4 linked regions of the Caenorhabditis elegans genome follow. The protein of the gene in region 2 interacts with the protein of the main gene of each other region in a pairwise test. Each region holds a gene or a part of one and is shown on either strand. Other genes may lie near its edges.

Region 1 (6,461 bases), 3.0 Mb from region 2:
AGGCGGATTGTAAACGAGCTGCACGTTCAATTGCCAGACATGTTCAGCGAGTTATGGGAAAAACGAAAGAACGAGTTTCGATTAGAAATTATCGAGCAAGTTTTGAAAAGTTTCAATTTATCTATTAAAAAAATTTATCTATTAAAAAAAAAATATTTAAAAAAAGTTCGCCTTCAAGAAGTACAGTAGCTTCCGCCATTTCCGATTTGTTTTTTTTTCTTTTAAAGATGTTTCATTTTTGTTAAAGTTATTACTTGTAAATTTAAATTAAATTGAAGAAAAGTGTAAAAATGTCAGTCGTGCAAACTAGTGTACTAAAATTATTTGACCGTGTATCGTAGTTTCACCAGATTTTTACATGCCTTTTTAAAGGCGCACGGATTTATTCAGAAAGGTCTCGGCACGCAAAATGTTTATGGTAATCTTTCTTTTTTTTTTGAAGTTTGAACATTTGGAGAGGCACCACGGTTTCAAGATCTGGTGGGGTTCCGGATCTACGTTTTGGTGCCAGATCTGGAAAACGTAGAACCGGAATCCACCAGATCTTGAAACCGTGGTGCCCCCATTTGGAAACAGATTTTTTAACAGAATTTTTTTTTAAAGCTGAAAACCGTGCAGTTTCATTGAAAAACGCAAACATTGAAGAAAAAGACTACAATAAACTTTTTGCGCGTCGAGACCCATCTGAAGAAAGTCGTGAGCCTTTAAAGAGCCATTTCAAAATTTGAAAAAAAAAATTACGATACCACGTAGAGTCAGGTTGTCCCATCACGGTGTGATCTACAATAAGTGCGGGTATTTTTGCTCAGAAAAGTGTGACGTCAGCACATTCTTAACCGTGCGACACCAGTTGGAAACTCTACGTCACGTTTCATTTTTTGTAGATCAGACTGTGATGGGACATTCTGACACCACGCGCGATACCGTTTTTGTGTGTTTGTCAATACCATAAAATTTTGCAACTTTAAAATATTTATCTAATTATTAAGTTTATGTGGAATTTAGGTGAACAACGTTCTGGCCACGTGCCGTCTTCCATTCGGAATCAAAATCGAAGAAGTCGCAGCAAAATATCCATCAGAATCCACATATGAGCCTGAACTTTCCGTTGGTCTTGTTTGGAGATCTGTGACACCAAAAGCTACTCTTCGAATTCATACGACTGGCTCAATTACAGTCACTGGAGCTCAATCGGAAGCCGATGTTCTCGAAGTACTCTCAAAGATCTATCCAATTGTTCTAGAATTCCGATGTCTCGAACGAGCCAAAGGAAATGTCGCTGCTCAGAAGAAGAGGAAACGAAAGGCACCTGTTAACAGAGGGTAAAAATTTGTAAAATTCTGGCTTCAATGTAAAAATAAAATAATTTTTTAGACCACCAATCAAACGCGAACGCTTTGATGACAGCAATTATAGAAATTCTGGAGTTATCAATAACCAGGTATGCAAATAAAAAGTGTTTCGGTGGTTTGAAAATAATACAAATTTAATTTTAAAATAACACATTTTTCTTTCAGGTCTATTTCTCTGATGAAGATGAAGATCTGTATGATGAGCTCGATTTAGAAGAATAGTTGTACCTAATTGATGCAGCCTACCCATTCATTGTAATTTTTAAAAAATCTCAATTTGCAATCATTATCTGATTACCTTTCTACATCATCTCGTCATAATTTCTCTAGTTTTAGCTTTCTATCTTCCAGTATATCTTGTTCTTTCAATTGTTCTGTGTGCTTCAAAATTCATGCTTTATCCGCTTTTTTCCTGTTCTTTTCTTTCTCTGTTTGCCGTTACCATCATCAACATCATAAGTCATCATCGAATCAACACAATCTCCTATCCATTTTTTTGTAAAATTAACACAATGATCAGAAAAACAATTCTCGCTTCCTTCTAGCTCTTTCTCTCTCCACATCCCACTATGTGCTCTCTACTTCATGTCTTCATCATGTTCCCCTCAAGCCCAGCAAATCTTAATTTTTCCTTATTTTCCATTATCTATTTTTCCTCATGAATCCCAGTTTTAAAAACAAGTAGCAGATTTTTTTTTGTTCTGAAACAATTCGCAAAAATTCCACAAAAAGTCCTTAAAAACAAACGAGTTCGTATTATAAAACTGTAACCTACCTTTTCCCAAAGTTGTTGTATTTCATTTTAATTATTTTAGAATGTGATTTTTCTACAATTCCCTTTTCATGATTCATCCTTTTTCTAGATTTAGTTATTGTCTCCCTTTACCATTTTTCTCGTTTTTGTCCATTAAATATGTTCATGATTAAATTTCAATGTCCGTATCTTTACAGAAGGTTTATGAATTTTTCAAAGTTACGAATTGTCAAAGAAACCAGAAAATCACAAAAAAGATTCAATTGAAAAAATAAAGAATTATTTACTGTCCAGTGTCCTTACGAGCTGTTGCACGGAACGCTCGTTCTTTTTCAAACTGGCGATTATCAGCTCGGTTTAAGAAGTCCATTTTGTTCAGATAACCGCCTTTCCCTCGGTTATGAGATTCCAAATCTTCCTGAAAAACAAACAATTTATTCAAAAACCTTAAACTTAAAGAAACATACTTTTAAATTATTTTGCGTCGTAAAATCTTTCCAATCTCGATCAGATTTCTCCAAAACAGAAATTTTAGAACGCTTCGACAGTGATTTTGCAGCATCAAGCAAGCCGACTCTTTTCTTTCCGGGTACAATGCTACTTTCAGACGATGTTCCAGCTGTTTCCGTTCTGAAAAAAATTATTAGAAAAATAAGAAAAAGTTGTTTTTAAATTTGTATCAAATAAAAACTCATGTCAACTCACTTTTTCGGATAAACCTTCTGATTTGTAGACTCGTTGGATGCAGATCTGTAAAATACATTTTTAAAAGTTATTTCTACTTGTTTCAAACATACGCTGCTGATTTTGGATACACCCTTTCTTCAGTTTTTGGAATATTCTTGCTTGATGTATCGTTGACAACTGGTTTCGGTGCTAGCCCAGTTAATTCTGCAAATATCGCATCCACATCAACACTTCCTTCAGTACTGTTTGCCTTTTCTGATGTATGGTCGTCACTTTGTTTTTCATTTTTCAGATGTTCAACTTCTTCGTCAATTCCATCTTCGCATTCTTCTTGATCATCGATCTGTTGAGGAGAATGAGCAATAAAAGGGCGATATCTAGGAATGCTTACTTCATCCTTTGGATCAAAATCGGTATCCTTTGTTGGATCGTAATCTTCATCGGACGATGAGTTGTAGTCTTCTTCGTTATTTTTAAGCTCCGAGGTCATTTTTCTGAAACAATTTATATTTTAAATAGTTTCACAATTTCAGTGAGAATTCAAAAGAATAAAATATGAATTAATATATTTATAAAATATGAATTAATTTATATTATAATATTATCTCAAAAAAAGTAGCGCGAGATAATTTTTCTTATTGAAGTACGCAATTGTGCGTGGTATTCAGTGTAAAATTCGACGGAGCGCACATGCTTTATGATGACTTAGCCGCCATTTTTGCATTTCATTGTCGAAATTCACTTCCTTTCATTTTTTCAAAGCACTCCCTTCAAAAACTTCATTTATATTGTTTCAGAACCAAAATGAATGCTCACGACGAAGTCCAGCGCACACTGTAAGTCATTAAACCTATATTCGTTTGAATTAACTCAATTTTTCAGGAATCCTACTTGTACCGGAACATCGGTTATCGCTCTCCAGTATAAAACTGGGGTTGTTGTCCTTACTGATCGAGTTGTTTCCTATGGAAAAATGGCTCGTTACAAGGTTTGAATTTCCGTTCAGCTGAAAGTGGATTTTCATAATATTTGTTTCCAGAATGTTTCTCGTCAATACAAGGTCAATGATAATGTTCTCATTGCCTTCGGAGGAGATCACGCTGACTTCCACTGGCTTCAAAATGTGATCGAGCGTCAGGTTCTTCTCTGGAAGCGCTTCGATCAGGATATTGGACCAAAAGCTCTCCACGGATACCTCACAAGCCTTCTCTACGCCAAGTCTGTTTTCCTAATTAAATTGAAAGTTTAAGTAAAAAATTTCAGACGTTGCAAGATGAACCCAGTGTGGAACACACTTGTTGTCGCCGGAGTCGAAGAGGAGGAGAAGAACAACAAGGAGACTAGCACACCTTTCATCGGTGTCATTACTCAGAAGGTAAACTTGAAAGCGTTAACTTGCCGGATCAGAATCTCATGATTAAATAATCACATAATAATTATTCTAAATTTCAGGGATGCGCATATCAAGTGAAGCACATTGCAACTGGACTTGGAGCGTTCCTCCTCAACCAAGCTGTTGAAGATGAGTGGAGAAAGAAGGGAGAAGACCTCTCCCGTGAAGAGGCAGAAGCCGTGCTTCGCAAATCGCTTGAACTTACTCTCTACCACGACTGCGTCGCTGACAATGAGTTCGAAATCGGACGTGTTGATGCGACAGAAGGTGTCGTTTTGGGTAAAGAAGAGAAGATTATTGGTGACTGGTCGATTGCCGAGACTAACTGTCAATATGAATAAGTTTTCCCCGGTGTGCAGGATGCGTTTCAGTATCTCCATGTTTAACTTATTTGTATCCTTCTTTTCAAAACATTTTACTCTCTCCAACCCACGTTTTCGGTGTAAATTTTATTTATTTTCGCGTGAAGTCGATAAATAAACTTCCATTTAATCCTTCTATTCACGTCTAAGTATTCACACGCATCATTTCACAAGTGCTCGAGTCAAAAATAGCGAGCATGAATTTCTCTGGTTTAAAAAGTATGATGAGTTTTTGGTTTAAAGTAAAATCGAGCGCTTTCAGGTAAACTCCAAAAGCTCAGTTTATCACCATCGCCTGATAAACAGAAATCTGATTATGAAAAGAAACAGGCGAAGAAGATGAGCTACAAAAAGAAGATGCAGCAGCGGTATAAACTGAGTGATGATCAGTATGAAACTCACAAGTAATTAAATAAATTGATGTATATGTAATAACTTATCTGATTTGGTTTCCAGGAAGGATGCTCAGAAACAACTGAAAAATTGGGAAGAATTTCGAAAGGAGCAAGTAGTTGAAATCTTTCATACGCAGTCTCAATACGTTTCGAAATCGAAAAATTCAGACGTGGTAAGCATACAGTATATATATATATATATCTCGCCGCGCAAAGGAAGTGCTTAATTACGGTTTTTACTATCCATCTAAAAAGTTAAAAAGAAATACATTATTTCTTGAAATTCAGCGCCATCCAAAGATGCAACGAGCCAATACGGTTGTCAATCGTCAAGGAGTGAAAGTTGATGTAGAATTTGGACGATTGAAAGAATACTACTTATCCACTTTGGCTCCACAAAAAAAGTTTGTGTCGATTCGTGATCACGTAACATAGAGATTATAGAGAAATTTACTTTAACCATGAACTTTAGGCAGCTCGTGAAAAGGAACTGGACGCTCTTCGTAAGAAACAGAAAATCAGTTTGGAGCAAAGGAAAGATAAACAGGACAACATAAAAAAGTCCCAAGCAGAGTACGATCAGATGAAAAGGTTTCAATGGGTCGAATGGTTTTATGTAGAAATTATCATATTTTAGCTTATACGCTGCCCCTGTCGATCCCAAGCAAACAAAAGTGGAAACAATGGAGCAAAAAGAAGTTTTAGAGCCAACAGCCCCGATGGAGAAATTCGGTAAAACTACGAAACAATACAGAAATCGGAGTGTTTATTTTCAGTTGTGAATACCACTGACGACAAAAGAGCCCTGTTCCCAGCCAGTTGGTATCAACAACCGATTTCCCGTTCGCAATTGAAGAAAGGAAAGATGATTTATTGGATGGCAAAAGACGAAGAGTAATTTTCGTGGCTTGCATCCGTTGGATCTTAATATTTGAATTTCAGAGAGGATATGACGTTGGACGATGATCCAGAGGGAAAGTACACGGTTACTGCTGAAAAGTTGATTGAGACAATGACTGCTGGGGGGAAAGTTAAACATGCTGGAATAACAGAACCACCTAGCAACACAGCAAACACCATCATGTCCGAGTCCTTGGCATCAATTAATGCGAGATACAAGAAGAGTTGTGAAAGAAATGCTGTTTTCATGAATACCTTGCACGGTACTATTGAATTCAACAAGAAACAAGTATCTGTAGATAAAACCCTCTCTACAAGTTCAATAAGCCAGGATGATGCGACCGAGTAAGAATTTCGAAACTGATTTTTCTCTAACGAGTTTTATTTTTAGCGCTCCGAATCAAATCATTTTTGCTCCAACAATCACTTCTCATGTTTTCAAAGGCCGATCTCTGAAAAGACAGTATGCAGTGAAAAATAAGGCACTTGAAACTTTTGAGGAAGATCGGAAGGATTACACTCGAGAGGCTGGAGAAGAAACTAGTGGATTGTAATTTTTTGTATTGAACTAGAAAAATAAAGCCTTAATTTCTTTTATCTAACAAACGTTGAAGAAAA
Region 2 (7,152 bases):
GAGATAATAACCGAAGGTTTCGAGTGTTTTAAATCGATTAGTAGGTCCGTACCGACGATTTAATAAAGAAATTAGAAACTTCTTCGAGAAAAAAAATGGGGTTTTCTTTTAAAAAAACATACCTTTTTCGACTTTTTCCATTCGATCGTGTCGATCTTAGCTTTCTTGGATGTTCCAAAGTGACAATTGTACTCTGTAAATCAGAAATTATGTTTATTTCAATTTTTTCACAAAAAAGACAAAAAAAACAAGAAAAAGGCAAAAAAAACATTAAAAATAACAGCGAAAAATAATTAAAAAATACTATGTTCAGTGGAGCGCACTTACGGAGTCCGTAAACACCACGACGCGCAATCACATACTCTGTTCCGGATTTTGTAGTAAAAAATGCACTGTGTACTAACTCTACACGCACGCTACCGCGCCGCGTGTCTCCGCCTGACTCCAGATTCTTAATACAGCTCGATTTTTTAGTGAAAATCAAGAGCTGCAACGGTCGATGCACCAATGTTGACACTCGGGACCAGTAGAGGGGAGTCAGTCACCCTACCGAGCGTATTCTGATACGCGCGGAGAGACACGGAGCAATGTTCGAGCGGCATTGGTGATAAGCGGTGCGGAGAGAATAACAGTACACAGTTTCAGACGAATTCCAGTTTATTCAGAGGATATAAATAGGAATTAAAGTGATTATCAGGATGGAAATGGTGAAGAAAGGTCCTGAATCACAGTGTCTGCGGATGGGTAGCCGCTGACTCGTCTGGTGAAGGTAGAACAGAATGAACGATTGGCCTAAAAGTAGGATAGAATTATTGTGTGGATTTACGGAGCTACGACGCTCCGGAGTAACGGGAGGTCTCGGAGGAGCGCGCTTGCATCGGGAAATACGCAAATGGCGGTAATTCAAAAGGGAATTATTATTAATAGATAATAAACGGAAAAGGACAACGGAGAGTGAATGTATTCGCGGATAATGAGTGGTGGCGAGTGGGTGAGCCTGACCGGTCATATATCTGCAAAGTTGGGACGCAGGGGAAGCGTTAGGCCCAAGTCACAACAGGAGGTGTCTTCTGTGGATCATTTGAATGTAGTCAACACGAATGTACTATTGAATCTCCTTCAATAGGTCTTCTGGGTACAGTCCGTCAACGACATGGTTGTGTATCCACTAACTATAATGTTTTGGACAAGGATGGAAATGTGATTTTCCTAATTGATGGGCCGGACTGTTGTACACAATGCTTTTGTGAAGATTAGGATTTTATGGTGAATCTTCAGCAGGAAAATGGCCACTTGCGTAGACAATTCCAGATTAAAACTGCCGATAACTATGAGCTCATCGGTTCAATCACCAAAAAGTGGGGTGGTGTACTTCGTGAGGCGTTCACTGACGCGGACACTTTTGCCGTCTTATGTAGGTTTAATTGAAAAAAGCTAAAATAACCCCTGGCTATTATCAGTCCCCGCCGACTTTGATGTCAAGCTCAAGGCTGTGCTCCTTGGAGCCACGTTTTTGATTGTGAGTTTTTTTGGTTTTTAGGGCAGCCGGTAAATATTTCAAACATCTCTTTCACTTGGTACACCATGATCTCATCTAAGTATGCAAGGTACTCTAGGCCGGCGGGAACCCCTTCAATTGCTGGGAGCGCTTCCATTCAGATGGATCCTGGAGCCGCTTGTATCGGAGCTCCCGGTTGAGTTGTAATAACAGCTCGGTCTTGCAGTTCAACGTAAACCGGTGGAGCAGGGTTAAGAAGTTCTTGCTCCATTTTTTCAACCTGAAAATTTTGCAAATAGAGCTGATCCTGTAGCAAAGGGCTCGCGGAGCAAAGCGTTTTGGAGCACATTTCATAGTGAGCAAAAATACACATTTCGTGAATTTTACACTTTAAATAATCAATATATGTAGTAAACTATTTGAATTATCGATTTTTCAAAAACAATTTATTTTTGATATATAATTTTGTGAGAAAAAAGTGGGTGGGACAGACACTGAAAACTAGAAGAAATGGGCGGGGCTTGGAGACCTGAGAGTGGGCGGGGCTTAACAAGGAAATGTGGGCGGAGTCTGAAGGAAAGTGACGTCATACATATATTGGAAGAATGCGTTGGAATAATAAGAAAAACGTTTTTAAAAAAGTTGGCTTTTAACAATTACAGTCACAATTGCAATCACAACCATCGGGGCAGCAGCATGCGGAGCTTGCTGTACCTTTAAGAAGAACTGTAATAGGCTCCTGGAATTAAAAAAAGGTCAATTGACAAAAAACCGGGATTGCATACCAAATTATGCTCTAATCACCGAAAAACACAGCAAAAATGTAAAGCAAATGGTAGAGGGTTAAGCAGACGGACGGTTAGACTGAAAAAGCAAAAAAAAATTGATAATTCAAGCGAAAATCCATAATTATCCCAAAAATCAATAATTTGGACGAAAATTCATATTTTAGGGAAGACACCAATCCTTTTTCAATATTCGATAATTTTCACATAAATCAATAGTTTTTTTTAGACAAAAGTTGATAATTTAAGCAAAAATCAATAATTTCCACAACAAAAAAACTTCTGTTAGCAAAAAGCGATAATCACAAACCTCCGTTATTGCGGTTTTGGCTCTGTTGCTCAAACTCCATGAAATCCTGAAAAATTAGCAAAGTTACAGTAATTCTACAGCAACCAAACTTACAATCAAAAACGTGGCTCCTATCAGTACTCCTTTGAGTTTGACGTCCAGGTCGCCGGGGACTGAAAATTGCAAGAATTATTGATTGTATGGACGGGGGCGACTTACAGTTGACGGCGAACGTGTCGGCGTCGGTGAACGCCTCTCGGAAGCAACCTCCCCATTTTTTGGTGATCGCGCCGACAACTGTGCCGTTGTTGGCGGTTTTGATCTGAAAATTTTGAGGGTATTGAAGCAGCGGACATTTTAGGGGGATAGGATCTTCAGCCGGTAGCTCACTGGCTTCCCGACAGACCCGCAAAGTGTCGGCTGCTCGGCAACCGCTGTTTCTTGGGTTATTCGACAAAGCCGCTAGGTGTCGGCTGCACAGCACAAGTCAGCAAAGCAGGTGGTTCAAGCAGCCGACACTTTACGGGTGGCCAGTAATCCTAGTAAATTGCGGCCGACGCCTCACTGGCAAAACCTCAGATAAAGGGCCGGTGAAAATTTTGGGATTTTCAATACATTCACAGCCTCAGGTAATATTTAGCGGCCGACATTTCACAGCACCTTGCAATCAGACAAGCTAGCATGTACCTTGCAGCCGACACCTCTCAGGACCCTAGAACTTCACCTACCGGAAACTCCTTATCCTGACATCCGCAAAGCATGCAACAGCATGGACCATCAATCTGGAAGATCACATTTCCATCTCCATCCATAATATCATAATTCGACGACATGCATCCACACCGCTGACGGATGATACCCAGAACACCCATCGATGGGGTCTCGATGATACATTCCTGCTGGCAGCATCCGATGCATGCCAAGCATCCACAGCAACCACCTCCGCAACACTTGAACTCACGCTTGATGGTCAGAACTTCCTGGAAAATTTGAAATTTCAGAGCATGTGGATCAATTTTGGCTTGGTAGGCCTGAAAATTTGGGCTCAGGATTGCTCCGCGAGCTTGTTGAACCAGATGCTCCGTGAGCTTACCCTCTTAAAGTTATCCACAATATGCATGACGAATCCACGTTGCGGTCCACAGCACTGTCTCTCACAGCATCCGGACTCCTCGAACGCGTAGTAACACTGTTCTCCATTTGCATTCTTGAGCACGTACTTGTTCTTGGTCTCCCAGTCCGTCACAATCTCGATGAGCTCCTTGATTTGATGCACCATGATTGTATCCAAGTAGGTAAGATACTCCAGGCCTGTAGGCACACCTTGGATTGCTGGTGGCATTGGCATCCACACGGAGCCAGGAGCCGGCTGCACAAAGACACCTGGCTGAGTTGTGATTGCTTGTTGGTGCTGCTGCTGATGCATTTCGAATTGTTGCACTGGATTCATACCCTGTGGGTTGTAGCCCGGTTGTTGGTTTATTACTGGTTGCTGCATGGTTATTTTCTGAAAAAAAAACACTTGAAAAATGAACAAAGCACAGTAGATTTAGAAAAAATTTCAAGATAAAAATCAGCAGGAGGAAAGTTCTGGGGCACCTAGACTTTTTGTAGAATCAAATAGTAAAGTTTTTATGGGCTCGCGGAGCAACAGGAACTGATACAATTCAGCGCTACAATCTGGTAAGCATAGTGATTCACGTGACGTGAAAAAAAAGATGCTCCGTGAGCTTGCACAAAAATGTTTTCGAATTTGATCTAAATTTACAAAACTTCAGCTTTAAAGCTTTCAGCTCGCGGAGCACCAATTGAGCTCAGTCTTAAACATTCTTAAAATTAGAAAATATGGCTCTCAAGCTCCTGAAAGCTGAAATCAAATTTCATAATAAAAAGCTTTACATATCAAAAGTTCAATGACGCCATACAACTCAATGATTAGAGGGGAATAAGGAGAAGCAATTTGTGCACGGCACAGACAATTTTAAATCTGATTAAAACAACCTCTATTTCTGGCTCTCAGAGCACCAAATTCAGATGTGGGCTCAATCTTGCTAGATTCAGCTAGCTGAAAGCTTTAGTTTGACACCCATAATGCCTATGCTACCTCAAACTTAATGTAGGGCTCTGTTGCTCCGTGAGCACAGAACACTCCAAATCGTAATTAATCCTGCTGCTCAATTCACTAAAAATTTGAAAACTTGGCATCCATATTGTATAGATTACTTTAGTTTGAAAATTTCCGCTTTCATGCTTCCGTGGAGCACCAAAATGCTTCGCGAGCTCAACGTGAAAAATATTGAAACCTAGGCAATATGGGGCTTGAATTGACGCTCTAAGGGAGCTGAACTTATAATAAAAATTTTATGATAAAAATTAACAATGGCGTTATTTTTTTAAACAAAAAATTGCGGAGCACCAAAATGCTCCGTGAGCTCAATATGGAAAACACTGAAACCTAGGCAATATGGGGCTTAAATCAAAGCTCTTAAAAAGCTGAACTCAAATTCGTATTAAAAAAAAAATTTAGTGATTGTGAATAAAATAGAAAATAATGTGGGTAATTTCAGACAACGTTTTTGGAATTATGTATACCCTTAGGGTTTTAGTTAAAATATACCCATTTTGTCTGAAATTACCCACATTATTTTCTATTTTATTCACAATCACTAAATTTTTTTTTAATACGAATTTGAGTTCAGCTTTTTAAGAGCTTTGATTTAAGCCCCATATTGCCTAGGTTTCAGTGTTTTCCATATTGAGCTCACGGAGCATTTTGGTGCTTCGCAATTTTTTGTTTAAAAAAATAACGTTTTTGGAATTATGTATACCCTTAGGGTTTTAGTTAAAATATACCCATTTTATCATATTATCAGAGGTTCCACTAAAAAGTAGATACTAAGAATGGTTTTTCAATGAAAAAATGGGCGAAACATTTTCACCAGTTTTCCAAAAAATCATAAGTCAGCCAGCTAACTACACAAACAAAAGGGTTGCGTGGCCGGAATACGGAAAAGATCAAAAAATTAGGAGAGACGCAGAGAAATCAAAGATTTTCAGCTGTCTACTTGCGATAGCTACCATGGTAACCATTTAATACATATGATTAAGGCCAAACAACACTTTTTTTCGCTTTTTTTGTTGAATTAAAAAACGTGTTTGAATCATAGAGAAAGTAGGGGAGAGAAATGGAAAAACGTGAAAAATGAAAGAGAAAAAAAAACCAATGAAATTTGAACAGAAAACAGTGGTGATTCAGCAAATATACAAAATACAAAACTACTTTTTTTTGAGTGACGTCACTTTTTATTGCGAAAGTTGCTCGGAAAGCTCAGAAATAATATCATAGAAGTTTTTGAGAACTTGAAAAAATTCGAAAATTAGAAAATTAAATTGAAAAAAAAAAATTTTTCATAAAATTTTTAAAATTTTCTAATGGAAAATAATATATTTTTCAAAGGGTTTCTTAATTTTTTTTTGGAAATTTTTAGAGTTTTTTCCGTGTACAAAGGTTTTACAGGCTCAATTGGATTTTCTGAAAATTTCGAACAAAATTCATTTTTAATTTTTTTTTGTGTAATTTGAAAATATTCCAATATTAAAAAAATATTTTAGAAGGTTTCTTGTATTTTCGGAGTTTTAAAGCATTTTTGAGAGAAAAAAATTGGAAATTTTCTGGAATTTTTTTTCAGGGAAACAGGTTATTTTTCAGAGTAGATTTTTAGAAATTTAAAGAAATTTAACTATTTTCGTGCAATTTAAATTTTTTTCTTTAACTAATATATTTTTAACAGAGCTTTTTTTCCATTTTGAGAATTTTATAGATTTTATGAGAAACACTTTTTTTTAGAAACACAAAACAAGTTTTTTTTCACTAATTTTTTTCCGAAACAAATATTGTCTAGACACAGGTACGCGGGTACCCATGACGAACAAAAACAACCCGATCAGATGCGATTTTTGACCCATCGCTAATTGGGCAATTTTTCTGCGGAACCGGTTTCAATTCTGTGGGGTAAATCTTTGCCTCTTTTTAATCTAAATAACAATTTAATTTTGGCAACACTTTTCTTTTTTTTGGATTAATTTTCATGTAAAATTTACAATTTAGGATTTAATTTTAATATTATTTTTTAAGAAAAAAATTGCAATGTTTTTGTATTTTTTCAGTCCGAAATTTGCAGAAAAAAATTCATTTTGAAAGTTAAAAAATCCTAACAAATCAGGAGAAAACAAATTAAAAACACTCGGAAGTTGAAAAACTAAAGAAAATAAATTCCACAAAAAACTGGTCGAAAATGAGAAACATTTGTTTTGTTGTGGCTAAAAGAGCGTGAAACAAAGAGAGAGGGAGAGGACGCAGAGATAAAAAGGCACCTAGAGAGTGTTGGGGTGGTGAGAGACGCAGAGATGAAGAGGGAAAGGGAGGAGACTAGACACAAACATATGAGGAACACACGTTGCAGGGGTGTGTTCTGGTGTACTAAACCAAACGGGAAATTATTTTTTCAAGGTTTTTAATTAAAAGTAGACAAATGATATCTGCGCATTTCTGAGCATTTACCTTACTTGAGCCAGCAGAA
Region 3 (6,839 bases), on a different chromosome or scaffold from region 2:
TGGATTTTTGGTCATCTCGAATGGAGTTGTCTCTTTCCCATTTTCGTTAGAAGACGGAGTGGTGTCGGATGAACTTGTTGATCCTGGGCTTTTAGAAGGAGTAGAGCTTTCCGTGTTTCTACCAAACGGAGTTGTAACTTCAGAGCTTCCAGTCTCTACATCTCTAGTGTAGTCGGCGTCATTAGGCAGTCTAGGCTTGGAAGAAGTTCCAATTCCACCACTAAGCTCTTGAGGTCCTGGGCGGATGGTTGGATTTACAGTTTTTCCATTTCCATTTTCAAAATCCCGAGTTGATGATCTAGGCCTTTCTGAGGGAGATGTAGATGGCTGTTCATAGGATTCCGTGTTGCTCGAAGTAGTGGAGACTGTTGAATCCGGATAGGAATTTGAAGACGGGGACACCTGAGTCTGTCCTCCATATGGATTTGGGGGCTCGTAAGGTATAGTAGTGGTGATAGGGTTGGCAGAGGGACTGTGAGCGACGGTTCCTGAAAAATTCTTTCAATTATTTTAGCTCGCTTCTTCCTTAAATACCTGTATACGTTTCCGGATTGACCGACGGTTCCATTGGCTTCTCGGTTGTCACAGTTGGTCCATACAGGCCATAGCTTCCTGTTGAAACTGGCACGGGCGGTCCAGCGGGTCCCGGATAATACGGGTACGCTCCAGTAGTTTGTCCTGGCGTGTCTGGAATCCATATCATCTGCACTGGATACTGCTGCCAATTTGGTGGCAATGGAGGTAATCCCTTTGGAAATTGGCCCTTGTTTGGAGAATTCTCATAGTAACTGGTTTGAGGGCTGCCGGGTTTTGGTTGAGGGCCAACCCAAGCGAATGGTCGGAAGCTTCCACCAGATGTTAGTTGATGTGGAGGAACTTGTTGATATGAGATCTTTGGAGATGGTAACGGTGGAAGACGTTGACGAGGTGGACGGTATTCCGGAATCGAGACCTGCTCGGGACGTGTGTAGTAGTTCGGTTGAGCACGCTGGAATAGAAAAAGTTTATGTATTTTTACTTCAAATATAGAAGTGTTTGATTTGAGAAATAATGTTTTGAACAAATCATTACAGATATTTAAGAGACCTCAAAACTTCGCGGAAATTGAGAAACGTTGGAAAACTTCTACAAAGACATTTTTGGAAATTTTTTGGTTACTTAACTTGGTATATATAGGGTTCTTGACGACTTTTGGAAGTTTTTCAAACTGTCTTACTCAATCGAAAAATTACCAGGTTTTCTACCGGTGCCTGAACATTGTCGAAACCGAATTTCAAAAGCTTCAAAAGTTTTTAAATTTTGACACCTTCCGTGTAAGACAATTTATGACGTCACTGCTCTTAAGAGTTTTAACCACAATTACTGTTTTTTGAGTGAAAATGTGTGACCAGTAAGGCATGAGCAGCTGTTCCAAGTTGTTTGAATTAAAATACTTTTAAAATTAAAAAAAACTGGATTTCTCGGTATCCCTTTAAATCTTATAGTTAGTCCCCCTGTTTTAAAATTCAATATACCAAAAATGTTTAGTTCAACACACGAGCCTCAGCTGGAGCGTTTTATTTTTCAATTAAAGTTTTACGAATGCTACTATTTCACGAGAGAAACCAGAATTTACAAAAACAATTTCTGAAAAAAAAACTCACCTTCGCCAAATTCGAGTGTCCCTTTAAAACTTCGAGATTCGCATTTGGATTCGGCTCAGAGACGGGCGTCTTCCATACGGGCTTAACCGCAATAATCGGCCCAAAAACCGCGAAAATCACGGGGAAACATGAGAGTAAGGGCCTCATCAGGCCCACGTTTTAGGCCTCTAGTTTTTGTCCGAGATTTAGGAAAACAATACGGGAGAAAACAAGAACAACAGGGAGGCAAAGAAGTGAGGAAACGGGTGAGGGGGGAGAATGGACATTCCAACATTATTAGATCGATTTAAGCGATATCGTCTGGTTATGATCGACGGAAATCCCTTTTGAATAGACGCTTTTTAAGGAGGGGAAACAGAAATGAAAACTGAGAAAATCGGGAATGAGGGAAAGTGACGGCAGGAAATGAGACTAAATTGGTCATCGATGTGTTGAAATTCTGGATTTTTTTTCGGTTTTGAAAATCTGCTGAATAGAAGATATTTTATTTGAAACAACACAGTTCAGTTATGTTATCGAGAAAAAAAATTACTGAATATAAACTTTACACTAGAAAGATGAAATTAAACATTTTTGCGTCAAATTTTCAATTAAAAATAATTGAAAACTAAACTTTAAAGCCGTTGTAACACCTTATACAGCAATTTTTTATGCAAAATTTTTCACAAATATTTGTTCAATTAATACATATTTATGTTTGAAAACATTAAAATTTTCCATGCCAACTAGATGTACTAGTTGACCACCAGGCGCGCCTCTCGATTCTCTCCCGATTCCGTTTTCTAAAGACCAATTCTAACACCGCCGCCGTGGCCTCCTTAGCTCAGTTGGTAGAGCGTGAGACTTTTAATCTTAAGGTCAGGGGTTCGAGTCCCCTAGGTGGCTTGATTTTTTTGTTTTTTTTTTCATTGTTGAAAAATTGTTTCTTTCTCAATTTTTTTCAAAAGGAATGGGCCGAACCGGGGATTGAACCCGGGACCTCTCGCACCCAAAGCGAGAATCATACCACTAGACCATTCGGCCACGAGAGACATGCTTCACGGAGGTATACACAATTGAGAGGAACAGAGATAGCGCTGGCCAGAGGAGAGTGTAATGCAAATAAACGATTATGGGGAATGAATAATAAATTGAGAATTTAATTCTGTTTTACTTCAAACTTATATATTTATTTCAAAAATAACTGAACAAACATGAATAACTCTGATTAAGAACCAGTTTTCCTCCATCATGCTCAACAAACAAACAAAAGATAAGTTGATTTATCGGGTCAATGAAAAATGCAAACATTGTAAACTTTTGATTAGGATTTTCAAGAAAAAAAAACGTGTCTAACTAGAAACAAAAGTGTAGGTTGGTAAACAACATGAAAAAGTATAAAAGTGGCAAGAATTACACGGGGTATACTCACAGAATCCCATTGAGCGATGCGTTGTGTGATTATATTGTTTGCAGTTGCTTTGGCTGTGGCTCAGGTTAGTTTTTCAATTTTAAACTAATTGTAAGGAATTTGAAAATTTATAATTTCTAAGTGCTGAGAGAAAGCCTAATAATTGTATTTTCTTTTCGCAATTTCGTGTTAACAAAACTACTTGAAATGTGAATTGGCGCTTTAACGACTGTTTTTGAACCTCTTCGAATTTCAATTTTCGACATCATTAACTGAAAAATCTCCTTTTTTAGAGTAATATCTGTATTCCCGTATATGGAAGTAGACCGACCCTGTTTTAATGTGGGCCGATAAAAATCTCGTAGTGACGTTTAAAATTGATAGAAGCATTCCAATTAACGACGTGTTTCTCAACTCAATTTGATTTCAGGCCTCCTCAATCCGCGAAACCCGTCAAGCCTCCTGCGGATGTGCTCAATCGGTTCAGCCGACCTGCTCCTGCCAGCAGGCCTCACAACAATACAGCTGCTCCTGCCAACCTTCAACTCCATGCTCTTGCGCCAGCAGCCAGCAATATCAATTGCAGACGTCTCAATGCATGCCTGCTTGTCAACAGTCCTGCAGTCAACAGTGCCAATCTAACACCAACACTCAATGCCAGCCAACGTGTCAGCAATCCTGCCAGACATCGTCTTGCAATCCGATGACTTCCACACCAATTCCAGCGTCGCAAAGTTGTCTTCCAGAGTGTGAGAACCGATGCATGCAGCAGTGTACTCAACAGCAGACCGCGCAACAGTGCCAGCCAATTTGTCAGCAGCAGTGCCAGCAGGAATGTGGGTCCACAGGAAATATGATGTACAATAATCAGGATCCGTATAATCAAATGCAGTATGGAGGGTACAATCAGCAAGGAAATCAGTACCAGAACCAAAATCAGTACCAAAATCCAAACCAGATCCAAAATCAGTACAACCAGAACCAGTACCAAAACCAAAACTACTACAACCCTTACCAACAAACTCAATGCCAACAACAATGTGCTCCACAATGCTCTCAACAAACTTCCACCAACTGCCAGCAGTGTCAGAACTCCTGCCAGAACAGCAACACTCAAACCATAACCATCTACGTGCAAGCCTCCCCACAGACCTCCCAATGTGTTCCCCAGTGCCAGCAACAATGCCAACAGCAGTGCCAAACTAGAACCACGGCCTCCCAACAGTGTGCTCCAGCTTGCTCGACATCCTGCAATCAATCCTGTAATCAGCCGGCCCAAATGGCATGTCAACCAATGCAAAATAGTCAGTGCGGATGTCAACAAAACTATTCGCCGTGCGGAAATGTCTCCGGGCAGTGTTGTTTGAAGAAGTAAAATTCTTGAAGATTGTATTTCTGTAAATCTAGGAAATGATGAATAAATGTTTCTCACTACCAGTTTTTTTGTTAAATGGGTCCTTTCAAAAGTGCTGAAGCTAATAAATTTGGTACCTGGTATTCACACAACATTTTTTGTTGAATGGAAAAAAGGTGGATGTACCTTTAAAGAGTACTGTAGTTTCGAGCTCTGTTTTTCAGGAATAATCATTTCGAGACCCGGAAAAACAATTAGAAATATTAAGAAAACTATTGTTGTATTGAAATTATGTTGATAAGATTTTATAGAAGATGACCGAAAATGTTTTAAAATTTATAATTGATTAGTATTTTTCGAATTTTTGTTTTCAGAATCAAGGAAAAATCGAAAACTCGACCCACTTGGTCCCTGTTGTTTGTTCTGCTACTACGTAGTAGTTGAGTGAGAGCAAGAAGAGGTGAAAAGTGCATTGAGAAAAAGAGACAAAAAGTTACCCCTTCAAATGCATATCGCTACATATATATAAATAGATGTCCAACTTTTTTCGCACTTTTCAATGAAAAGAAGGGGAAAGTTTATTAGTAATTTTTTTGAATTTTGAAATGTATATTTTTAGGTAGGAAATTTTCGATTTTTTAAATGAAAATTTCAAATTATTTTTTGCTTTTAAAACTATTTTTTGCAATTTTTCTGTTACATAGACTTCGAATTGAGAGCGACATATTTTTCTGAAATTTACATAAATTATTCATCAACAAGTAGCTTTTCATATTTTCAAGACATCTACATAATTGTTTCGAAAACAAAATCCCAAAAAAAAGTACACCTTTCAAAAAATGTGACGGGGCCTTTTCTTTGTCTTACAATGTGTTTTGTTCTCGTTTACTCAATTAGTGAAAGTCAATGACTTGTTGAGACTCTGCAACTAGTCACAATACTTTTCCGCGTTTCACCGAATTTCTATGAGCGGAGCAAAATTGAGTTTTTACTTTTGAATGTGTGCCGGGTGATTTTGGACTTTTTTTTCTGGGGATAAATATTTCAGCACTTTACTTATTTCTCGTAAATTCGAAGGAATTTCCAATTTTTCGCGAAATTCGAGTCTTTAAATTTTAATGTCCCGCAAAAAAATGGAGCAATCAACTCCCAGTTAAGCTGAATTTTAGTTGTTTTTTATGTAGTTGTTTCCCTCCAAAAAAGCGTCCACTCCCACCCATTTCCCCAATTTGTTCAGCAGAACTTTTTTTGTTTCTCCTCTCTCAAATGGTGGTCCGTCTTTTCAAAAATTCCCATAAATCGTTTTGCAGAACCCCGGGGTGTTTTTGTGAAAAACTAGAATTCGAGTGACTTTTTCAAGTAGTTCTGGTAAGAGGATAACGGAGGGACAAGGAAATAAATTTGAAGGGGAGCAGCACACTTGAATTGAAACTTTTGGAATTTAAACTAAATAAGAAGACAACGAATTCGTATTCTATGAGAGAGATCAAGCTTTTGAATATAAAAAACTAGTTCTTGAATAAGTTGCTCCGTTTTTTGGGGCATTTTTTGAATTGTAAAAAAATTTAAAAATCCGAAAAGTTTCGTGTTTCGCTGTTCAAAGTGACCTCCCTTCTGTTTTTCTTATTGAATACTCTCAGATTATTTATTTTCCAGATTATTTAAATTCAAACTGTGACACTTTTTCGATTTTTTTTGTCGACCTCACCTATTCTAGTGCCAATTCCAAATTCTTCCTTGTCCTTTTTTGGGAATACAAAAACATTTTAATGGTTATTTTGGCAAACATATTTGAAAAGAACATGTCAACCAATTCTTGAAGTCGTTGACATTTTTATGCATTTTTCTCCATCCTTTTACATATTTTTCTTCCATTTCCTTCTTGAACCAATTTCTAACTCCATCTTGACATGGTCTGCCAAATCTTAACCAAACAAATGTTTACGCAAATCATTTGGGTTTTCAGATAAATTATTTTTGATTTGATTTTTCAATTTTGTAAAAAAAAAGTGAATATTTAAATTCCCGCCCGAATGTGCCTACGCTCTCCGCTATCCGATTTTTCGATGTTTTCAGAATATTTCAATTCTTCTTGAACATTTTTTTTGAAAAGTACCTCAAAATTGTTTTGAATTTTTATTCGCATCTATGAAAGTTGATAGAGAAATGCATATTTTCAAAACATTTCTCGACTTTTCAAATTTTAGTTTTCAGCAATAATTACTATTCCGAAACTCTGATTTTTTCCAGCTGAAACCCAAAATTTCCAAAAATTTTGGAACATATACAAATTTATTTTATGGCCCTCATACATTCTCGGATCCCATTAAAATGTTCCCCCATAAATTTTTCCCACAACATTTTGTTTCACTGTCTGTACCTCTTCCGTCTCTTTTTTCATCAACCTTCTTTTTCAACTTTTATCTTTTATCTTATCATCTTACACCTAGCT
Region 4 (9,134 bases), on a different chromosome or scaffold from region 2:
CAAAACTTTGACCGGAAATTATGAAAATCTAAAATTTTTTGAAGTGTTTTATTATGATATTCAGTCGTTTTGGATCATTATAAGTGTATTTAGACAAAATACACACTGACGCTACTCCACCTTTAACGTTTTTACACAATAAAAACTTTGCACGGTTACAAGCCACACATTAGTATAAATAGTCCTGCTCTGATTTTTTGTGAGAACAGCTTATTTTCAAAACAGTTTTTGGGAAAATCGTCAATTTCAGAGTAAAATAATCTAATGCGTTTTTATGAACAATGGCCATCAAAACAAGCCTGGCTTAATTGTAATTAGAGAATATGGTAGCCATATGGTGATTGTTCAGATAATTTCAGCAGAGCGCATTTTATTTGGTATTTGAAAGTTGACTGAAATAATCTAACACGTATGAACATTATTTGTTTTCATCATCAATCAGTTGTTCATTTAATTATTTAGGAAATGCTATCTTCAGTGCTAATTCATAAAGTCATCGTTTTTTTCCTGAAAAACTTAATAACCATTTTTCCCTCCTCTTGATTGATTTTCCATAGGCATATACGTTTTTATTATCGTACGTCATTTTTGTTGCGCCTTTAGGGTTTGGCTTTTTAAGACCATGTACGACATTAGTGATTTTAAGGTTACCTCAGAATTCATGACACGCATTCTACTTTTAGTTAAACATGACAGGGACACGATTGGAACTTGCTGATAACAATTTATAGATACTTTTATTATGCGACCTACGGAACGATCACAACAGCAACATGCGTTTGGGTTCTGCTTGGTAAAAGGGAAAGTTTTATGGCAGAAACGTACCTAGGTTCATATTTGCTTGAAAAATATTTCAAAACAAACGGAAGTAAGCAATAATGATGGCGTGTCTGAAAGCAGTTTTAATATATATTTGAAACATTTTCTTTGTTATACACACATCACTGAAATGTCTAAACTTCAACATAGTTTAATTTTTTTGGAAATAAATGTGCAATAATTTATTAGAATAATTATCATTCAGTAAAGTTTTTCACCAACAAAGAACATGAGCGAAATTGCCCAAACGATCAAATTAATAATAATAATTTAGTAAAAATTGTTAAAATGCATTATGACGGATAACATTTTAAAAGAGGCTTTATCTTATCTTGTATAATAAAACACATGATAGTTTTATACGATAGAGTAACAGTAACAGTTTTTGTCAATGAACAAATTTTACAGAACAATTTTTATAGAAAGTTTAATTTTCCAATTATTTGAATGTTGGTGAGTATTGTTTTTTCCAACCTCTCAACACCTTTTAATTTCGAAAACAGAATTAATCACCATGAGTGTCAGGGTTCAAATACACCGGTTTCTGAAACAATTCATGTCAAAAATTGAACGAAACCATTACAAAAACTGTGATACATATGACGCCATCAATCTTCGTGTTCACCTCGTTTTACCTCACTAACTGACAACATCATCACGTCGCCTTTCTTTTATTCTTTTCACTTACTTTCATCACTTTTCATCGTTTCCATCTCATGACTGTTAAAATTTACATCGTTAGTTGTTTATTGGTTGGTGCAGTGTTGTCGCAATGGCCGTATGCCCCAAATCACTGGTATGGAGCAAATCAGGTGAGCTAGGTAAACATCAACAATTTTTATTGCTTAAAAATGTTTTTTTTTTTGAGAACATATAACATTTTTGCTTTGCAGGGAAATATACGGTCAGGAATAGTTCCTGATTACAACCCTGTCCCTAATGTCCAAGGAGGTACATTAGCTCCACACATTTGCGGATTCAACACTTTTACAAGGTACGTTAAGATTGCGTAAATTATTTGAAAAAAATATTTGAGAGAAGTTGACACTGACAGCAAGTTATTAAGTTTTTGTTCTGCAGAAAATGTATGGATCCTGAAGGATATTGCCCTGGCAAGTGCATGAACTTCCGTTACACCTACAACACTTTATACGACTGCCGATGTCTTGCGATTTAGATGCGTTTTTCTTTTGAATTTTGAGTTTGGTTTTCAGTTTTAAATGTTCACCCGACCCTCTGTGTATTTGTATATTTGTATGTATTTTTTCATTCCACATTGTTGCACATGTCTGGCTCATATGATTTGCGTATTCGTAATATAAGTGTAATAAATTTTTGTGATACGCTAAGGGATGATGAACGTAAAGAAAATGCTGCGGAAAAATCAAAAAGTGACACTTGTGACGTGGTCACATGCAGTCTGGGATAAAAATCAGAATATGAAATGAGTGTAAAATCTAATTTTTGTTTAAATTGGAGACTGAAAGTAGAATAAACCAAGAGAAGTGGCACATTGAATTTCGGGGGGGGGGGGGGCAGTTTTTTAAAATTACTTTCCGATAATTTGTACTCTCTCACAGTATTTTTGATTCTTACGGCTGCATAATTTCGATTGAGTTTGAAATTGCATTCAGCGTTGTAATGTGCCCAACTGCCAAAATGAGACGACTGGTTTTGGATGTATTTTTTTAATACTTACAGTGAAATTTTTAGTGATTTGATATATTTTAAATCATAAATTATTGTCTCCATAACTCCATTTTATTCACCCACAACTGGTAGTGATTAAGAATGAGCTCTTCACATTTTTTGTAATTCCACCTTAATGAGTCACCGCCTATCAATCATATAATCTTCATACTTGCTTCATTCCAAACTCTCTGCTTTGCTCTTGTCTTGCTCACTTCTCAGCAGAATCTCATGTTTCACCTGAACTTCTTCTTTCTTCGCTTCTCACTGATTCGTGGAAAAAATTGTCGCGTGTGCTTCCGTTGCCCATACCGCTTCTGACTTGCTCTTATCTTTTCTTTGCTTTTCTTTTTCGTTTTTCGCCTGACACATCAGCCACCAAGCTTTTATTAAAACACGAAGGATATGATTTGTTCATCAGCACTTGTCAGCAGCTCGCTCAAATTTCGACGTTTCGGATGCATGCTTTCCTGAAGTTTGCAACCTCGAAAAGCTCGCATGATATGGGTTTGTCAAGAAACCAAAAGTTTCGAGTTTTTGAGTCGATTCCTAGAATGTCATCAATCTCATCTTCGAACATTATAGTATAGTTTCCGAGCAACAAATGACCGCGGTGGACCTCCTCAAAGTGATTTTAAATTGAACAACTGTGCAATAAATAACGAGGATGAAAAATGTGTGCGAAATGTTGTGTTGTGTTGTGAAACGAAGAAAAGTGCCGAGGATAAAATATCACTCAAAGTGGAGTTGATGGATATGTGACGACATAGGGAGGAGAACTTATTTTGTTTAGATATGGGGTTTTAATACACCAAAAGACATATGAATAGGAACAACAAATTCCAATTTCAAACAGATTACCTATGAGAAAAGCAATTTTGTTTTTTTTTTCACTTGAAAGTTTGTATACTTTTTAAAATTAATTGTTTTTTTTTAATCTTTGCTACTTCCTGAAGGCAACATGACTTTCTGACCCGCACAGGTTTGCTCAATTCTGAATAATTTCTGTTTTGGTCTAGTATTTTACTCTTCAAGACTCGATCATAATCAATGCATACTCGCAGGCTTTGAGTTCGATTTGAAAACGTTCTCAGCATCCATTACTGCTTCCTGTTTCTCTCTAACTTTTCTGCTCACCGCACAACTCTTTTTGATCTTTAGCCTCACTTTTGGTTTGAGTAGAAGCGTAGAGCATTTTTCCTTAAAAAAAATAGAAAGAAAAGTTGATACCTCTCTTCTTTCCTATACTACAGTAGTATTTTCAACCCCCTTCCTCATTCTTTTTATCACTCCCTGATGTTTCAGCTTCTTCTTCTTCTTTTTCCTCTTCATCTTCTTCTTTTTCTTACCTCTCTTCTTGTTTCTCGACTCCGCCCAGTATCATCGTCAGTCACTTGTTGTGCACTCTCGTGTCCGCGGTCCCGTCCATTATCAGCCGCAACATGCAGGCTACTGTAGGCTTATTCGCCTTAGCGGTCTTGTTCTGCCTAGCCGACGCAGGTGAGTATATATGTTTATAGATGGAAACTGGTTTGAGGTTCAGCTTTCATTATGAGAGGGCGAGAAGTAAGGTGTAATAGGTAAAAAAATAAAGCATGAACCTCAAGCTTGTCATACACAAAAGGTATTACTAACAGTGAAGTTGATACGCAAGTGTAAGAAAAACAAGTTTCAGGTAGAATCTCGGTATCCAGAGGAAAAAATGTCACAAAAATTGATGATTTGTGCGCCAGAATGCACAACAACACTGCTCTTGGTAAGTTCATTGAATTACATCAGGTCATTTCCCCTGAAAAATTAATATTTTATCTCATCACTATAATTCATTAAACTTCTCTAGGTTTTAAAAACTGTATTGTTCTGAAAATCTTATTTTCCTTTTGAATATTATTGGTTTCTAATTAACATATGCGTTTCACTAAAAAATTGATACAAGTCATCTAAAAACTAGTATTTCTAAAATCATTGATGAAAAATAAATTATTGTTTTAGTTTCATTTATTGACAATTCACGCATTAGGTGTTTGCAGCAAAACAAACATAAATCAATTATCCGTCATTAACTTCGTGTGTGTCCACGTACCACTTTGATTATTTCAGAAGGATCATCTCCATTGCTGATGATGCAGGCAACCGCCTACGAGTGTCAGAAGAAATGCGTGGACATCTTCCCAGAGTGCTCCGCAGGTAAAATTTTCATTTTTGCACCGGATCCTATCCGGCCCAAGAAGATTGATGTGATGTGTCAAGCAATATCTATAACAAATGACACTCATCCGCAAATATCTCTTTTTCTGCTTCTTTAACTGATTGCTTTTGCAAATTTACACTGCCCCTCCTTGATTCGCAAAACTCCGTCTTCGAAATTTGATCTCTGCGTTTGGGGTCATGAAGACTAAAAAAACATTAACTTCACAAAAAAGTTCAACTTGTTTTCAGTGGTTTACTACTACTTGCATAACGAAACAAAGAAGCATTTCTGCTACCTCTTCTCCGACAACTCGGTTCAAGATAAAATTGACCTTGTCGAGCAAAAGCCAGAAAACAAGAAAGATATTGTTAGAATGCTCGAACTGGTCGTCGACTGCCACCAATTTGATGCTCATCCACCACTGGAGGAGGACGGTTTGGCTTCGTCTACCGATAAGGTTGACAGAAAGAAGAGACGTAAGATTTCGATCGTTACTTCGGTTTATATAAAGTTGTGATTTTAGAACAAGGCGATGAAGCTGTTGAAGGAGTCGGAGATTGGACAGATTGGTCCCATTGCTCCAGTAACGGACACGAGGTGCGCTCTCAGGCATGCGAATACGGAAGAAAAATCCAACGTCGTGGATGTCCAGCTAGATCTGCTCCACAAAGAGTCCCAGCTCCACCAGCGCAGCAGTATGCGCCACGTGCCCCAGAGTACCCAAGTGCACAGCAACAGCAGCAGCAAAGGGAACAGCAACAAAGAGAACAACAACACAGAGAACATCAGGCTCGTCTTCAGCAGCACCAGCAACAACAACAACAACAGCAACAGCAGCAGCAGCAACGTCCACCACAGCCACAGCCACAACCACAGCCACAGCCACCACAGCGACCACCACAACAGCCACAGTCCTTCTCTGGAACTCACGAGCTTCATCTTCAAAGGCAGAGAGAACAACAGCAGCAACAACAACAACAGCAGCAACAACAGCAGCAACGTCAACAAAATCCACAGCAACAGCCACAACAGACAACACAGTTCGGACAATCTCAAATCCAACTCCAAAGTGGGCCAGTCCCTCCACAACAACATCCGCAACAGCAGCAGCCACAGCAGCAACCAGAACTTGAGCGTTCTCCACTCGATCAACATGCTCAACTCTATCAGCAGAGAATGTCTCAATACCGCGAGAACTTCAATCAGAGACATCCAGCTCGTCCAAAGGCTGATCCATGCCCAGGAGGTTTCTGCGCCCCAGTTCCACAGGCCCCACAACAAGAACGCCCAACACCACCGCCAGTTCTTGCTCCAGTGATCAACACTGCCACTCAGCCACCACTTCCACAGCCCTACCCAACCAGATATCGTCCAGCTCCCCCACCACCGCCAGCATGCGATGGACAAGGATGTGTCAACCCACCAGTTGTTTCTGGAGTTTGGCATGATTGGTCTGACTGGTCTACCTGCTCATGCACCTGTGGAGATGGAGCTAAATCAAGAAGACGTGAATGCTCCACCAATAACTGCCAAGGAGCTGATTATGAGACTGAGCCATGTAATCTTGGCCCATGTCAGACATGGTCTGAATGGTGCGAGTGGTCAACTTGCTCTGCTAGCTGTGGATCAGGTCAACGCGAGAGAACTCGATTCTGTCATCTTGGTACAAACAGATGTGAAGGAAAGGACTACGAATCTGAGCAATGCAGTGCTGGACCATGCCCAGAATGGTCTCAATGGGAAGATTGGGGACAATGCTCTGTGACTTGCGGACAAGGAGTCGCAGTTCGTCAGCGTACATGTCTCGGAGGTGTTTTCGGTGATCATCTCTGTCAAGGACCAAAGACTGAACAACGTGCCTGTGATGGTGGACCATGCTCTCTTTGGTCTCCATGGCAAGAGTGGTCTACATGCTCGGCTTCATGCGGAAGCGGAATGAAGCGGAGACAACGTGTCTGCCAATTTGGAACTGATTGCCAAGGACCAAACGAAGAGAGCCAATTCTGCTACGGACCTCCATGTGCCGAGTGGACAGAGTGGTGCGAGTGGTCAGGATGCTCTTCAAAGTGCGGACCCGGACAACGGACTAGAACTCGTGGGTGCCTTGGACCAAACGGGCAAGAAGCCACTACTTGCCAAGGACCAAGTATTGAAACTACCCTTTGCGAAGGGCAATCTTGCTGCAACTGGTCTGAGTGGTGTCACTGGTCCATGTGCGACAAGGAATGCGGGGGTGGTCAGGTGAGATATATTGAATATATGTTCAGAACGGGGTAATAATGAATTACAGTCAATTCGCACTCGTACATGTTTGAACAGCGCTGGAAGTCCGGATTCATCATGCCACTGCGATGGACCAGATCGTGAAGAAAAGGAATGTAACAGTCAGTCATGTGCTCCTCAATGCGCTTGGAATACTTGGTAGTTAAAACTGTTACATTGGTATTAATTAGTTTTTTCAAATGTCCAGGTGCGAATGGAGTCCATGCTCAACACAACTTGCATGCGAAGTTGGAGTACAATCTAGGTCTGAAATAGTTTTTGATGAAGACATGTTAAGAATCTGAATTATATCTTACAGAAGCCGTCAATGTGTTGGAGAATCCGGATGTCACTGCATCGGTCTTGCCGAAGAATCCCAGCAATGCCGTGGATTGACTCAGTGCCCACCAAAGCCACCATGCTAATTTTTTGTGTTAAAAAAAATCAGTCAGACAGGGTTACATCGCCCATTTCTTTCATATTTATGTTTTTCAATTTGTACTTATATTCAATACTTTCATACAACACCGCCTCAAATAGTCGAATCTCTATATCTAGTCAATTAATTGTATTTTTCACGTCTTCCATTATGCAAATGCCTTTCAACGATAGGTTAAATTAAAGTTTGTTTTATCTTTGAAATTTATGTTTTAATAGCATTCACTGCCATAATTTGCATTTTCAATGTGGTTTAAATTTTTATTCTTAAATTCTACAATAAAGTTGTTTCACAGCCCATTGAATATAACATCAAAACATACAAGCCAGTTAACATTCAAACAAGCTTTCAATCAAAGTGTTGTACAGTTTCAGAAAACCACTCCTTAACACGAATTTTCATTAAAGTATATTGGTATTTATTAACCAAGTTTGCTGATTTATAGGTAAAACTAAAAATAGAATCAGATGCAGGTATACAATTATCAGTTGTTTAGACTGTCAGCAGAAGATAACATGGGATCAATGCTATTTTTAATTGTTATGTAGTATATGCACCCCTCCATTATCTAAATTATCTCCCCCTTCTAGGAGATTCATACAACTCATTGATTAAACATGATAGAACATATGTACTCGTTGTACTACAAGGGTGCAATACCCAATATTTCTTGTTGCCATCGTCAAAATCCTTCAAGAACAAAATCCTTTTCCTCGACATCTTCATTTGTGGCACATCTTACTTTCCATGTAGATCTTGAAGGATGTGTCAGAGTTTCCGATTCCTATAATAGTTTCTTTACTAAATGTTCCATATTTTCTTGCCCTATCTGAATTCAAAACAAGTTTCTCTTCGGCAATTAAAAAATTGTAATTTAAATTTTTTTTTTTCGTCACCTTTACTAGTGATTATTTTGATTTTTCCACCAGATTATTCTCTTAATGTGATGTTATAACATATTTTTCTACTCTCCTCTCGTGAAAGATTGACCAAGATCTCTTATGTACCCAATGTATTTGAAAAACGCCTATAAATAAATATGCATACATTGCAAACCGTTTGTTGTGGATTTTGGAGGGATGAATTATTTTTTGAACGTTGTTCTTCCGTTTAGCCCGTTTTCTTACAGGTAGTCACAAGTTACTCGCACAATATGGACCACCTCGTTGTATTATCGATTATTGGCCTCGGCGCGTCTATAGATTCGGTACGTACTGAAACAGTTTCAATATGCATAAAGAACATAAACAGTGTTACAAGTTAAAAAATATATAAATGATAAATTCTATTTTCAAACGGGTTTTTTCAGAAACGTGAGAAGAAAAATATTAGCGTTGGAAAAAAGATCGCATTCATAAAGCTTGGTTATTTTTGTACATACAGATATTTATTTTTATATTTTCAGACATCATCGTTATTGTCCTGAGGACAGGTTAAGATCTTAAACGTGATTCCCAAAGTAATATTTATTAAATAATAATAGCAAATACAAGTTGGTTGAATGATTGACTGAATGATTGAGGGGTGCTGCAAGAGGCCAAGAAATAGTCTTATATACGGAAGAGTTGATCGAATTATGTAAATGATGGGGCGACGGCGGTCATGAAATGGAAACCGCGGGAATAATACCGCGGGAATCATAAAACGGGGAAATCAAAGAGCGAGCGATTTGACATCGTTTTTGTAATATTGACTTTGGTTAATCAAATTATTTTTCCTTCCAGGCTTCCATTA

The links.
Region 1: the proteins of scrm-1 (region 2) and pbs-7 interact in a two-hybrid assay, tested with the Caenorhabditis elegans proteins (2 studies listed by BioGRID).
Region 3: the proteins of scrm-1 (region 2) and pqn-71 interact in a two-hybrid assay, tested with the Caenorhabditis elegans proteins (one study listed by BioGRID).
Region 4: the proteins of scrm-1 (region 2) and T21B6.3 interact in a two-hybrid assay, tested with the Caenorhabditis elegans proteins (2 studies listed by BioGRID).

The regions. Positions count from the first base shown.
Region 1 is NC_003279.8:8,693,429-8,699,889, reverse strand, and holds pbs-7 (Proteasome subunit beta), read left to right. Parts: upstream 1-3,588; 5' UTR 3,589-3,597; coding exon 3,598-3,629; intron 3,630-3,675; coding exon 3,676-3,781; intron 3,782-3,832; coding exon 3,833-4,011; intron 4,012-4,056; coding exon 4,057-4,168; intron 4,169-4,245; coding exon 4,246-4,527; 3' UTR 4,528-4,685; downstream 4,686-6,461. Other genes in the region: tlf-1 (TATA box-binding protein-like 1), read left to right, coding at 1-95, 1,006-1,322, 1,375-1,441, 1,518-1,574; F39H11.1 (Craniofacial development protein 1), read right to left, coding at 2,390-2,524, 2,574-2,736, 2,812-2,856, 2,904-3,136, 3,185-3,283; K07A12.5 (Pre-mRNA-splicing factor SYF2), read left to right, coding at 4,746-4,767, 4,811-4,952, 5,005-5,116, 5,232-5,369, 5,416-5,534, 5,581-5,675, 5,720-5,837, 5,886-6,188 and 1 more.
Region 2 is NC_003279.8:11,686,752-11,693,903, forward strand, and holds scrm-1 (Phospholipid scramblase), read right to left. Parts: upstream 4,080-7,152; 5' UTR 4,071-4,079; coding exon 3,666-4,070; intron 3,553-3,665; coding exon 3,301-3,552; intron 2,895-3,300; coding exon 2,792-2,894; intron 2,746-2,791; coding exon 2,687-2,745; intron 2,640-2,686; coding exon 2,594-2,639; coding exon of another isoform or gene 2,586-2,593; exon of another isoform or gene 2,363-2,585; coding exon of another isoform or gene 2,358-2,362; exon of another isoform or gene 2,238-2,357; coding exon 2,215-2,237; 3' UTR 1,931-2,214; downstream 1-1,930.
Region 3 is NC_003283.11:15,462,631-15,469,469, forward strand, and holds pqn-71 (Prion-like-(Q/N-rich)-domain-bearing protein), read left to right. Parts: upstream 1-3,046; 5' UTR 3,047-3,070; coding exon 3,071-3,118; intron 3,119-3,463; coding exon 3,464-4,408; 3' UTR 4,409-4,470; downstream 4,471-6,839. Other genes in the region: rocf-1 (ZP domain-containing protein), read right to left, coding at 1-488, 535-988, 1,644-1,790.
Region 4 is NC_003284.9:10,943,719-10,952,852, reverse strand, and holds T21B6.3 (Apple domain-containing protein), read left to right. Parts: upstream 1-3,900; 5' UTR 3,901-3,950; coding exon 3,951-4,008; intron 4,009-4,183; coding exon 4,184-4,264; intron 4,265-4,528; exon of another isoform or gene 4,529-4,592; intron 4,593-4,608; coding exon 4,609-4,695; intron 4,696-4,947; coding exon 4,948-5,175; intron 5,176-5,222; coding exon 5,223-6,940; intron 6,941-6,989; coding exon 6,990-7,120; intron 7,121-7,169; coding exon 7,170-7,226; intron 7,227-7,280; coding exon 7,281-7,386; 3' UTR 7,387-7,693; downstream 7,694-9,134. Other genes in the region: K09C8.7 (uncharacterized protein), read left to right, coding at 1,536-1,631, 1,713-1,813, 1,900-1,996.